4 linked regions of the Caenorhabditis elegans genome follow. The protein of the gene in region 1 purifies or fractionates together with the protein of each later gene. This does not show direct contact. Each region holds a gene or a part of one and is shown in the gene's direction. Other genes may lie near its edges.

The links.
Region 2: the proteins of iscu-1 (region 1) and nfu-1 fractionate together in Caenorhabditis elegans (co-fractionation; one large-scale study listed by BioGRID). This does not show direct contact.
Region 3: the proteins of iscu-1 (region 1) and spig-20 fractionate together in Caenorhabditis elegans (co-fractionation; one large-scale study listed by BioGRID). This does not show direct contact.
Region 4: the proteins of iscu-1 (region 1) and F47B8.8 fractionate together in Caenorhabditis elegans (co-fractionation; one large-scale study listed by BioGRID). This does not show direct contact.

What each region holds. Positions count from the first base shown.
Region 1 is NC_003282.8:13,782,307-13,785,193, forward strand, and holds iscu-1 (NIF system FeS cluster assembly NifU N-terminal domain-containing protein), read left to right. Parts: upstream 1-1,655; 5' UTR 1,656-1,668; coding exon 1,669-1,758; intron 1,759-1,816; coding exon 1,817-1,936; intron 1,937-1,999; coding exon 2,000-2,183; intron 2,184-2,237; coding exon 2,238-2,305; 3' UTR 2,306-2,374; downstream 2,375-2,887. Other genes in the region: lact-9 (Beta-lactamase-related domain-containing protein), read right to left, coding at 137-305, 355-636, 693-991, 2,379-2,489, 2,537-2,749.
Region 2 is NC_003282.8:10,385,564-10,388,882, forward strand, and holds nfu-1 (NFU1 iron-sulfur cluster scaffold homolog, mitochondrial), read left to right. Parts: upstream 1-1,849; 5' UTR 1,850-1,853; coding exon 1,854-1,905; intron 1,906-1,948; coding exon 1,949-2,011; intron 2,012-2,057; coding exon 2,058-2,136; intron 2,137-2,200; coding exon 2,201-2,690; 3' UTR 2,691-2,788; downstream 2,789-3,319. Other genes in the region: Ankyrin repeat and KH domain-containing protein mask-1, read left to right, coding at 1-412, 464-640, 709-1,037, 1,083-1,179; R10H10.3 (CUB domain-containing protein), read left to right, coding at 2,957-3,034.
Region 3 is NC_003284.9:6,084,511-6,087,067, forward strand, and holds spig-20 (Neuropeptide-Like Protein), read left to right. Parts: upstream 1-1,613; 5' UTR 1,614-1,630; coding exon 1,631-1,741; intron 1,742-1,794; coding exon 1,795-1,989; 3' UTR 1,990-2,057; downstream 2,058-2,557. Other genes in the region: C45B2.2 (Neuropeptide-Like Protein), read left to right, coding at 243-353, 403-591.
Region 4 is NC_003283.11:14,329,887-14,333,183, forward strand, and holds F47B8.8 (Aminopeptidase N-like N-terminal domain-containing protein), read left to right. Parts: upstream 1-1,787; 5' UTR 1,788-1,856; coding exon 1,857-2,067; intron 2,068-2,198; coding exon 2,199-2,500; intron 2,501-2,586; coding exon 2,587-2,694; 3' UTR 2,695-2,781; downstream 2,782-3,297. Other genes in the region: pepm-1 (Aminopeptidase N-like N-terminal domain-containing protein), read left to right, coding at 14-130.

The sequences.
Region 1 (2,887 bases):
AAAAAGCTGTTTTCACTTTCCAAAGAGTCGAAGTATTACATTTGGTTGTTTTTTTCTTGCATTTTTCCGATGAAAATTTTAAAAAAAAATAATATTTATGTACTCAAAATATAAGGAATGTGTAAATATCAAATATTCAAATTTCGCCATGAAACAGATCTCCAATGTCTCGTCCCAGCTTCAGAACTGTTGTATTTTGAAGGTTACACAGGATGGCCACACAAACACCGGAAGATGTATTTACAAGAAGCACTGAAGAAGCTCCGACAGCTGCTCCGGTGTGGTAGAAGAATGAAGAGTTGGAGCTGAAATTATTACGAATTAATATAGAAATGCAATTTCGGAAGTGCTTACATATTTCCATCAATTGATTTCAGATCTTTTCCGTCCACTAGAAACCATCCGAGGCCTGTCGAAGTTTTCGAGTCAACTGGGACTTGCTTTTCCAGGAATTTTCGAATAGTTTCTCGTTGTAGCAGACAATTCTTGGAATCCGACAGAATACTGTGAAGGATGGCGTTGGCGATGATCAGAAGATCGGTGGTGTTGGAGATGATTCCACCGCCGGCGAATTTGTTGGAGCAGTCAACTTCCGGACAGTTTTCCAGAATGTTTTTCGAATTTCGCTGGTAGTAGCTGAAGTTTTAAATAATTTTGGTTTAAAGAATCATTTAAAATTTTAAAAACCTTACCTAGCCCTTCCCGGAACAATTTTCTCTTTTGTATCCAGTTGTGTATTTCTCATTCCTAGATCCGAAAATAATTGATTTGCAAGCTGTCTATATGTTTTTCCTGAACATTTTTCAAGAACAGCACCGGCAAGTGTCAATCCGTATGTGGTGTAGGAGAATTTGGAGCCAGGTTTTTCCACAAGGTCGTCATTTTTGAAAATGGCAAGGGCGTCGAGCGAGGAATTGTATGGCTTGTTCGAGAGAAATTCGGGGGTTTCTGTGTTGTTGTTGGATGGATCTTCGTGTGTTTCGGATTTTTTCTGAAAAAAATACTTATTTTTTAATAGTATGTGGTTAAGGAATTTGAAATGAATTCCAAAATATTAAAATTCAATGAAAGTTACCGTACTTTCTAAAGGCACATTGGTGAAAAAGCACAAATGCTCAAATTCGCTTCGAGACCCGCTAGGGTTCAAAATACTGTGCGCCTTTACTACAGTATGTTTTTTGTTTTTTTTTTCTAATTTTTATTATTATTTTTATGAATTTTTAATGTTTTGCGCGAATTCAAGGATTTTTTTATTGGGTTTTGTATAGAAAATAATCTAAAAACTAGTAATTAATATAATTTTCTCATCAAACAACTGTTTCTATTGATTTTTTCTAAGTTTTCCATCGATTTTTATTTATTTATCAGTGTTCTCTGCTAAACTCGCCAGCTAAAGCATCAAAAACCTTGGCCTTGGCCGAAAAACTTCTCGGCCATGAACATGTGATGGTGTCTTGTGTGCGCCCACTACTTCTCCATTCTTCTTTTTGTTATCGCCGAGAAAAGTGATCTCTGCTTTAATTCTAAATGTTTTTTTCTGGAATTCCCTATTTTTATGCACAAAAATATTGCCTTTCGTTGCTAAAAATCCATGATTTAACGTATTTCTACTTTTATATTAATTTTATTTTTTAAATATAATAAATTAATTCCAGACAAATCACAGAAATGTCGCTTCAAATCAGTTCAGCCGCGAAAACACTCCTGCACAAGTTTGCGTTGCCAGCGGCAACTTCAGTTGCTCAGTATCACGAGAAGGTAGGTTTTAAATCATTTTCAGGCGTTAAAAAATCAATAAATTACACATTATTTTCAGGTTATCGATCACTACGAGAACCCGCGAAATGTCGGATCACTTGACAAGAACGATCCAAGCGTCGGAACAGGAATCGTCGGCGCTCCAGCTTGTGGAGATGTCATGAAATTGCAGATTCGAGTGAGTTTTTTCACATTTTCCGGGGAAAAAATTATTATATTTTAAAGCTAAAAACATTTCCAGGTCGACGATAACGGAAAAATCATCGAAGCCAAATTCAAAACATTCGGATGTGGAAGTGCAATTGCCTCATCTTCCCTGGCAACCGAATGGATTAACGGAAAAACTATCGATTACGCGTCGAAAATTAAAAATGACGAAATTGCCAAAGAATTGTGTCTTCCACCAGTCAAACTTCACTGTTCAAGTGAGCTTTTTTCCCTATTTTTCTCGATTTTTTTCGCAACTAAAAATGTTTCAGTGCTCGCCCAAGACGCCATTCAAGCCGCTTTGAAGGATTATCAGAAGAAGCAGACTAAGAAGGCCTAAGCCTGAAGAATGTGTAATAGACAATTTGTTTTCGTTATAGAAATCGCTATATATAAAAGAGCTTTTTTGTCACCTTTTCAGTTGCATAATGACGAATTCCAGCGGAATGCGACAGAAGCTGTCTCATTGTGATTTTGACGTCTTCGTTTTTGAACTTTTTCGCCGGGAATTCAGGAAGATATTTCTGAAAAAATTAATTTCAGATTTTCCCTTCCGTTTTAAGTTGCAAACCCGAATATCCTCATCAAGATCTAATGTTCCATTTTCAACGCACTGTGCTGCCAACGTGGCAGTTATCGGCTTACTGATGCTCGCAATTCGCATCACAGAATCTCCTGTACATTTTGCAAAACTTTCGAGATTTGCATACCCAAATCCACTTTTCCAAACCATTTTTCCATCCAGCGAAACTGCAATCGAAAGGCCTGGAATACCTTGAATAGCCTGAAAATAATGTCGAATTGGAGAAAGTTATTACACAGACTTGGAATTTAGAGATTTTTCCGCAATTACCTGGTCTCGACACGACAAATTTTTGTTAAATATGAGAAGGTGTGCGCCTTTAAAGAATACTGTAATTTC
Region 2 (3,319 bases), 3.4 Mb from region 1:
GCAGCAGCCATCTACGTCTTCTGTTACTACTGGATTATCTTCTTTGGAACTGAAAGGTTGGATGCCAGCCTCATTTGCACCGTCTGCTCGTGATCCGAATAGATCTCAACCACCCCTGTTTGCAAGATCTCAATCGAATTCTGTTGCTAATAGCACTTCCACGAATATTCAACAGCAACAACAACAGCAAATTCAACACCTTCAACAGCAGCAAGCACTACAACAACAACAGCAAAGGATTCAGCAATTCCAGCAACAATACCAACAGCATCAGTCTCAAAGTTCTCAGCAACCAAGTGACTTGATGTCTTCAAAGTTTTCAATGCTACAATCACAACAACAGCAGCAGCAACTTTACAATCAGATGCAGTCGCTAGGTCAAGATGGACAGGGATCCAATCTGTATAACCATGTAGGGATCCGTGATTTATGTCTGAAAATACGTTATTTGATTTATTTGCAGCTTGCCGCCCAATTATTGACTCATCAAGAGAGTTCTACAGGAGCACCTGGTCCAACAAGTAGTCAACTTGCAAATAGCTACTATCCATCACCTTCGTATACGGATGCCAGTGTTTTAGGGCAAATTAGCATGCCGTCATTGTCACAGAGAGGAATAAAGCAATTTGATGGATTTAATGTAAGTTTAGGACAAATTTGATGTTAAGATAGCAGGATCAGTTTAAAAATTAATGAATGGAAATTTAGAATGACTCTGATGGCGTTATTGCTGCTATTCTCGAGCAACAACAACAACAGAAGAAACAAGGACTCGCACAACAATCGTTCATGCATAACTCTCAACAGCCACAGCCGTTCGGAGCTCCCAGCAACGCTTCTGCAAATCAATCGCGACTCGGAATGATCCAACCTCGGCCCCAACCGCCACCATTTGTTGCTCCACAAGCTCCACCTGGATTCTCTTCTCTTGGAAATGCATCTTCCACGACGAACCCATCTCGAACTTCTATGCAGCAAATGTATCAGCAATACGGACAGAGTTCACAGCAACAGCCTTACGGTCAGATGCCTCAAGCGTAAGTTCTACGATTTCTAATTAAATATTTGTTTATTTATTACAGAATGGATTGGAACCGACTTGGACAGCAACAGCAGTCTGCATCTGGCCAACAAAATCATCAGTCATCCTCGTCAAATAAATGGTCTTCCAACTGGTAGATATCGCTCACAAAATCGTCTTCTTGTCAATTAGTCCCCCCTCCCCTCATAATAATTCGGTGTTTACTTGTTTTTTATTCAACCGTGAAACAATATGTCTTCCCGGTTGAATTGCATCCATTTTTCTTTATTTCGTCTCCTCGTTCCGGGTTTTGTAACACTTTTTCTTCATTTTAAATCTAGCCTTTTTTGGTCCATTTTTTCTTTCAACTCTCAAATGTTCGATCTTTCCCATCCCTAGCAAGTGTTTTCTTGCGAGCTCAGCCTTGTGGAAATTGTACTCTTCTGTCCAAATTATTCCCGTTTACCCATTTTTTGTTCTTTTTATATCTCCCCCGACATACTACTTCTTTTTTTTCGGTTATTTTTCAAGTCTTCCAACACAACACATATGTATTTGAGACGGATGTCAAATGGTCCCAACTTTTTCTTCCCTTTATTGAAAAGTGTGTCTTATTTTTCACTTTTGATGTTTTACTCGTTGTTTCATATGAAACCTGGGCATTTATTTCATTGCTAATTAATTATGACTTTCTTCGCTTTATGTTGATCCATGAATCGTGATTCTTGAAAGTATACAGGTTAGGCTATTGAAATGTACAACTCGAGGTTTTGATTCCTATATCTTGAGAATTAAGTCGGTAGATGTTGAAAGAACAAAAATTTTCAGAAAAATGATTTCATCAAAAATGCTCACAAGACTGAACCGGAGCTTTGTACAAGCAGGTGATACTGGTTCCAGAAATTCTTTCATTTTTTAAAATTTCAGCTCGATCAATGTATATTCAAGTTCAGGAGACACCTAATCCACTTTCTTTAAAATTTTTACCTGGTTAGTGGAAACTTCACTGTTTAAAATCTGAAATGTAGTATTTCAGGTCAACAGCTTCTCCCAGACGCCTCGAAAACATACGATTTCAGCTCAGCGGCTACAGCAAAACAAAGTCCACTTGCTATGTAAGGAATATTCCAAATTTTAACTACCATTCAGATAAAATAGTATTTATTTGTAAATTTTCAGAAAACTTCTTCGAGTCGACGGAGTGAAGCGTGTGTTCTTCGGAGAAGATTTTGTAACTGTCACGAAATCAGATGAGACTGTTGACTGGGCTCTCCTCCGTCCGGAAATCTTCTCAACAATTGCTGATCACATTCAAACCGGAAAACCTGTCATAAATGAAGCTGCAACTGTTTCCGACCAAGTGGAAGAAGATGATGAAGTTGTAATGATGATCAAAGAAATTCTAGAGACACGTATCAGACCAATGGTACAAGAAGATGGTGGAGATATCACTTATGTTGGTTTTGACGATGGTGTTGTCAAATTGAAGATGCAAGGTTCATGCACAGGATGTCCAAGCTCTGGAGTCACTTTAAAAAATGGAATTGAGAATATGCTCACATTCTACGTGCCTGAAGTGAAGGAAGTTATCGAAGTTAAGGATGAATCCGATGATCTTGTGGAACAAGAGTTGAAGAAATTTGAGCAATCAAAAGGAATCAAAGACTAATTGATAATTGATTCGTGTATAACTAGATTTGTTTTTATTAGTGTTTGCTGCTAGAGATAAATGTTCAATGAATATTTATAAAAACTTTTTTATTACTTTGAAAGTCGTATTAGTAGAATTGGTTTATGACTCTGAAATCATCGAATCACGTCAAAGTTCAACGGCCCAGTCCAAATCAGTGATATCAGTTAAAAGACTTATCACCCGGAAAAGTGGAAAATTGTGCTTCGTAAATTGATAAGAAATCAGTCAGAGTGCTGCTCAAAATGTTGAAACAAATTCTTCTCGTCGCTATTATTTTAAATTTAGGAGTATCTGCGTATAAGAAGAAAAGCTTGATTCATGTTAGTTTTTTTTTCAAGTTTTTGAATTTTCAATGTTATCCAGACGCGGAATTTTGCTATTTTTGCGGCTGGTTCGGTTTCTGAACGACATCATTTTAATAAATGCGGAAGGTACGCGCCTTTAAAGTGAACTGTATATCCAAACTTTATTTGCTGCGGTCAATTCTTCATAGTTTTTCGAGAAAAATATGTTTTTTTATTTATTAAACAAACTACATTTTGAAATCAAAATACAAAAATCTTCAGAAAAACATGAGACAACAACTTTTGCATTTATCAAAATTT
Region 3 (2,557 bases), on another chromosome or scaffold:
ATGTTATTTCCGTTTTAATTCATCTAATCAGCCTGACACCTCACAATCGTGATACTTTGTAAAAACGTAACACCACATCTAGCAACCGATGCAATGATGATAAAGAGATTGACGAAATGCAACGTAGGAGACAACAGAGGTCAGTGATTCAACGTATAAACTGGACCGCACATATAGAGGCGTACCTGAGAAAAACAGTATAAATAAAGAAAATTTGGCAAGAAATTCATCATTCGACTACAATGAACTCTTTGGCAATTATTTTGGCTTTCGCCATGCTTTTGGCAACCGTCGCTGCTGGACCAGGAAACCGTTACGGATGGCCAAGCTCTTACGAGAGATTCCTTGAGAGAGTGAGTAAATTATTGTTTTAAAATAAAGTTTTAAATAAGTAATTTACAGCAAGGAGTTTGGGACTTCAACAGACACGAAGCCCGTGCTGATTACAGAGGACGCAAGAACTACGAGCGTGACCTCCGTGATCTTTTCGACGACTGGAAGAGACAAACCCAATGGGGAGGAAAGGGATACAGATCCAACAGATTCCAACAACCAACTGGAGGAAATAGCCGTTACGGATTCAAGGGATAAACACAAATTTTGGCGTTTTTTGTTAATAATTCTATCGTTTTTGTCTTAGTTTTACAAAATCTCAAATAAAATTCGTAATTTTTTGTAATTATGGTAACTGCAAAGTGAACATTTATAAGGATTGCAAAATGTTTTTGAATTTCAAAAATGGACTTATTAACAAAACTTAACGTTTCAAACAATGAGTAAATTCACAGCAGTCTTTCACTGAAGTAAAGATCAGATAAAAAACTTTTGTTTTCATGCGAGATATATCAATACAGATGTTATCAAAAAGATAGAAGGTTCACAGAGGGTTTTTACTACGTGGCCTAAAAAAACCAGAACTCGGCCACGATTTATCTTCAATTGTTCACCTCAGATTTTACTAAAACTTGCCGAAAACAATCTTATGAGAGATCGTTCTGGGGAGGCGATTTTCGAAAAAGACCATGTTTTCATTTTTCGAGTACTTCTATTCAAAGCGACAATAATCAAAACCTGAAACAATTATTTCCAGGCTTCTACACAATTTTCTCACGTTCAGCTATTATCTGAGTTTGATTGTTGAACTTTATTCTTAATTTAATAATGAGGAACATACTTCCTTTGCCTTGGAATAATATTATGAAGTAGTTAATATAATAGAATATTATAGTTTATCACCGTTTGCAGTGGCACAAAATACAACCACAAAAACGTTTTTAAAAAATCTTCCAAAAAATCATCTAGTTGGTGAGCACAAATTATTCAATCACAAATATAAATTTTGGATTTTGAAATAGTATTACTAAATTGTTCATTTGAACCTGATCTATTCGCTATCAGTTCACTTCCCGAAACGCAATCTTTGTTTGGTGGCGTTCTGATTTGTCAGAAAACTGTTACAATCGAGATTGTGTTTCCCGGGTAACCGAGAATTCGATGAAAAAAATAGATGAACGAAGCGGCCGATAGTTCAAAAACACAATGTGAAAATTAGACATTAAATTTAAGAGGCGTAGCTTTAAAAGGAGTATAAATAGTGAAGGAATCAATGGTCAGGACATCATCAGTCAAGATGAACTTTACTGCCGTTTTCCTGGCGTTTGCCATGCTTTTAGCAACTGTCACTGCCGGACCTGGAAACCGTTATGGATGGCCAAGTTCTTATGAGAGATTCCTTGAAAAGGTTTGTCATACTTATTTTTGTTGAAAAATCTCTAAAAGCAAAATTATTTTCAGCAAGGTGTGTGGGATTATAACCGACACGAGGTTCGTTCTGATTATGGACGTCGTGGAAACTACGAGCGTAATCTCAACGATTTGTACGATGACTGGAAGAAACAAACTCGTTGGGGACAAAATGACTACAGATCAAACCGATTCCAGCAACCATCTGCAGGGTACGGACGATACGGATTCCCAGGAGGAAAGTAATTGTTAAAAAGTATTTCTTTTATAATTTGACTAGTTTGTTTTTCCTTCAATAAATGTCACATTGCATTTTTACCAGAAACATCGAAATTTTCAATTTTTCAATACATGTTTTCACAAGTTCACAAGGTCTGAAAAAATAATCATGACAGAAAAAGTTTGTCACTTTTGTCAAATTCTGGAAATCAGTTTTGTTATTAGATCCACAAGAGCACATCATGAATATTTGCGGTAAATTTCGAGAAATGGAACTCTCTCAAAAATATGGAAACTTCCTAGATGTTGAACAGACTTGAAGCCTGACGGTGTAAATGAAGACATTTCAATGCTGACTGGACTCCGATTCTGTGTACTCTAAAGCAAAAATTGGCATTTTTGATTGGATGGTTCTTCATTTTTGCAGAACTGAGCTAAAAACTTAACTTGTATGTTTTTGGAAGCTTCACAAAAGTGCCACTATCCTTGATTTTTTTTGCATTTTTTATTGAAAGCCATGCTTTTGGAGATTGTTTCTCCATGATCTCGACGGAATGTTTAAAATGGAAGCCAAAACAAATTACTTCAACGAATT
Region 4 (3,297 bases), on another chromosome or scaffold:
ATAAATGTTTCAGGATGACGCTGGGCACGAAGAATTCGAAGGAAGAGTGAAGAATAACTTTTTAAAAGAAGAAGAACTTACTATTGAAGATGTTTACATTTATGTCACACCAATTATCGATATGGAATAGTGTTTCCAATTTTTTTTGAACAATTAATTTACCGAATCAATGAATAAGTTTTTTTATTCATATATGTATGTGTTCCCTGGATGTTTCATAAGTATGACAAATTTACTAAATGTTCACGTGTGCTTGGGGGGTACGTATCAAGAAGTTGCTAGTTTCCGAAAATTTTTGGACTTGGCGTTTTTTTCTGATTTGTTAGGGGTCTCGAGTTAATCGTCCTATGTGGGTGAACTTCATAAAAATATTTTTTCTGCCTCTTCCTATATTAAATCCTGAAATTGCATTCTTGACAGAAATAAAAAATAAGGGCACGTTGTCGTAATGGGGTGTCCCGAGAAATGTGACTGCACTTTGAGAGCTTATATCTTGGCTTAGGGTTGGCGGTTTCTTGAGCAATTTGTTTCAATAGCTTATAAAAATAGCGCCTTCCATCGTCATCATTGTGGGGGAGCTTTTGGGAAGGCTAAAACACTGATTTGAGCGGAATTCTGGAGTATGGTCGAAATGGATGTATTCTTTGTACTGACGAATTTCATGTTTTTTCAGCCCCAAATCTTCAGTTTTTCTGACATTTGGTTCCAATTTGTGCGCAAGAGAGAACTTCGTATTTCCAATTTTTTGAAACTATTTTGAAAAAAATTGGCGCACTTTCCAAAATGTAGGCCATCATTCAATTTTTGCAAAATCAAAAAGATTGATTAAACGTGAAAAACTTTTCTACCACTCTCTCTCTTTCTCTATTTTTGGTGATGAATTCGATAATTTTCATTTCTTATTTTTAATAACGTGAGGAAAACTCAATTTTGAAGACTTTTCGAGATTTTTACTTTTTCCCTAATCTAATTGAGGGCCGCACTTTTTGAACATGTTGGCTACTTTTAACCTGACTTCCAGCAGGACAGGCTGGAGGCCTGCAATGCTATTGTATTTCACTCAAACCCAAAAATCAGGGATTAGGGCCACCTTCTTACTCTTTGAAACTTTAGGCCTTTTCTATCCCTACACCCAGCAGAGCAGGCTGGAGGCCTTCTCTGAGAGGTATGTTTCTATAACTACGTATGTTTTTGGAAAAGTAATGAAAAAGGTCACCTAGGTCAGTTAACCGGATTGAGGGCCAGAGGCCCGAATACACAAAACGTATTGGACAGCCGTTAAGCCTATACTGAGCCCAAAAACTCGAGTTGAGAGCCACAGGCCCGAATACACGAAGAAGTGTTGGAGATCCGTCAAGCCTATTCTTAGCATAATAATTCAGTTCGAGTGTCGCAAGCCCAAATAGACGCAGATGCGTTGGACAACTGTTAAGCCTATTTTAAGCAAAAAAATTTGAAAAAATTTTTATTTCTAAAATTAATATTAAACTAAATTTGGCCGGTCTTGACAAACTTCAGCACATTTACTTGGCATTTACTCAACACTTGACTAAACTTTAGCGAATAAAGCGAATTATTCTTGAGTTACTCTACGCCGAACTAAACTGCGAAGCCTAGCAACTCTCCGATTTGCTAGTCAAGATAAGTTTATAAATTCAAAACAATGGCATTGAAATGTTTTGTTTATTTTTTTTCTGATTTTCCGAGGAGAAAATATTTACAAATTCAATCGATGTTTTTTCATTTTTCTCTATCTCTTACGGGTGCACGTGTTCCTCCTACAAACCAGTTTTCACTCGTATCAAACTGTCGAGGCCGTCTCATTTCTGTCATTTATTCTCTGATTCTATTGAAATATGTCGGAACTTCTCACCACATATCGGCCGACTAGATACATGCTCCAACTCGATCCAAATATGGCAAACAAGACTTACTGCGGAAAAGTGAGAGTCGACTATGAATTCACTGCAGAAACTTCGGAAATCAAAATTCAAGCATCAAGGGATTTTCAATGGACTTCTATTAGGCTGATCAATTTTTACGCTGTATACCTGGAATGTCCCATTTGTAAGTTAATTTAAATTTTGAAACGGTTTTTTTTTTGGTTTTTTTCTCAATAGTAATTGTGCTGAAAAAATTATGGACTCAAATTTTGAATTTCAAGACATTACAAAACAATACAACTTCCCAAGTTTCAGATGCAAGTGTGTTATGTGACGACTATAACCATGATCTGGAATCTGAGATTCTTACACTTTCACTGGACACACCGCTAACCCCAGACAATACACAAAATGGATTCTACATTGAATTAGAATTTACTGGACCCATAATTATTGCAGGGCAAACTACTGGCCTCTTTGCGGTTGATGAGAACTCAATTACGGCAAATATGAAAGATGGAAATGCACATAAAGTTGCACCATGTTATGAAGGTGTTGCTATCAAGACCTGGCTGACTGTGATAGGTGGTGAAGGATCACAGGTAGAAACTAACTTGGTAAGGATTTCGATATCTTCAGCACATTAAAAAAAAATCAATTTCCGCATCAAACAAACATAATCCTATTTTTGTATATTTTTCAGAATAGCGATGGACAGGAAGACTTTGAAGGTCGCGTCAAGAAGAACTTCATAACGGATGAGGAAATTACTATTGAAAATCTATGCATTAATGTTTCTAATTTTTCTTGAAACATCTTTTTTTATGTGAATAGATTAATATTTCTAATTTTTTCTACCCCAATTTCTATTTTGCCATAAAGATTTTCCAAGTATTGGAATTCCGATTTTATTTCAGTTATATCACAAGAAAAATAGGAAAAACAATTATAGCACCAAACAAAGCAAACACCAGATTATTCGATATCTGCAAAATCCGGAAGTCTATTCAAGGTGGGCCATAGTTATACGGACTACTTCTCTTTTCATAGAGGTGAATAATCTAGGTTAGAATATACTATAAATCATCAAATAATTTGCAGGCATAATTTAATAAGATTGAGAAAAATGAAACCAAATTTGCGTGGTTCATTTTGATCAGCATGTGACTTATTTTGTTTCTTTTTCCATTTTAATAGCACACATTTTTGAGAATCTATTTAACTTGTTCCACCACGCAGTGTAGGCGTAACAATTTCAAAGACAGCCAACCTCGTGTGATTCAGATCTAATTGAGTCAAAGCTCGAGGTAACTGAATTTTCAGACCTCCGATTTTCCATGTTCCGAATAATATTTTCAAATGCGTAATAACATCTGATTATTATTATTATTTGTTTTCGAGCCATTTTTCAGCA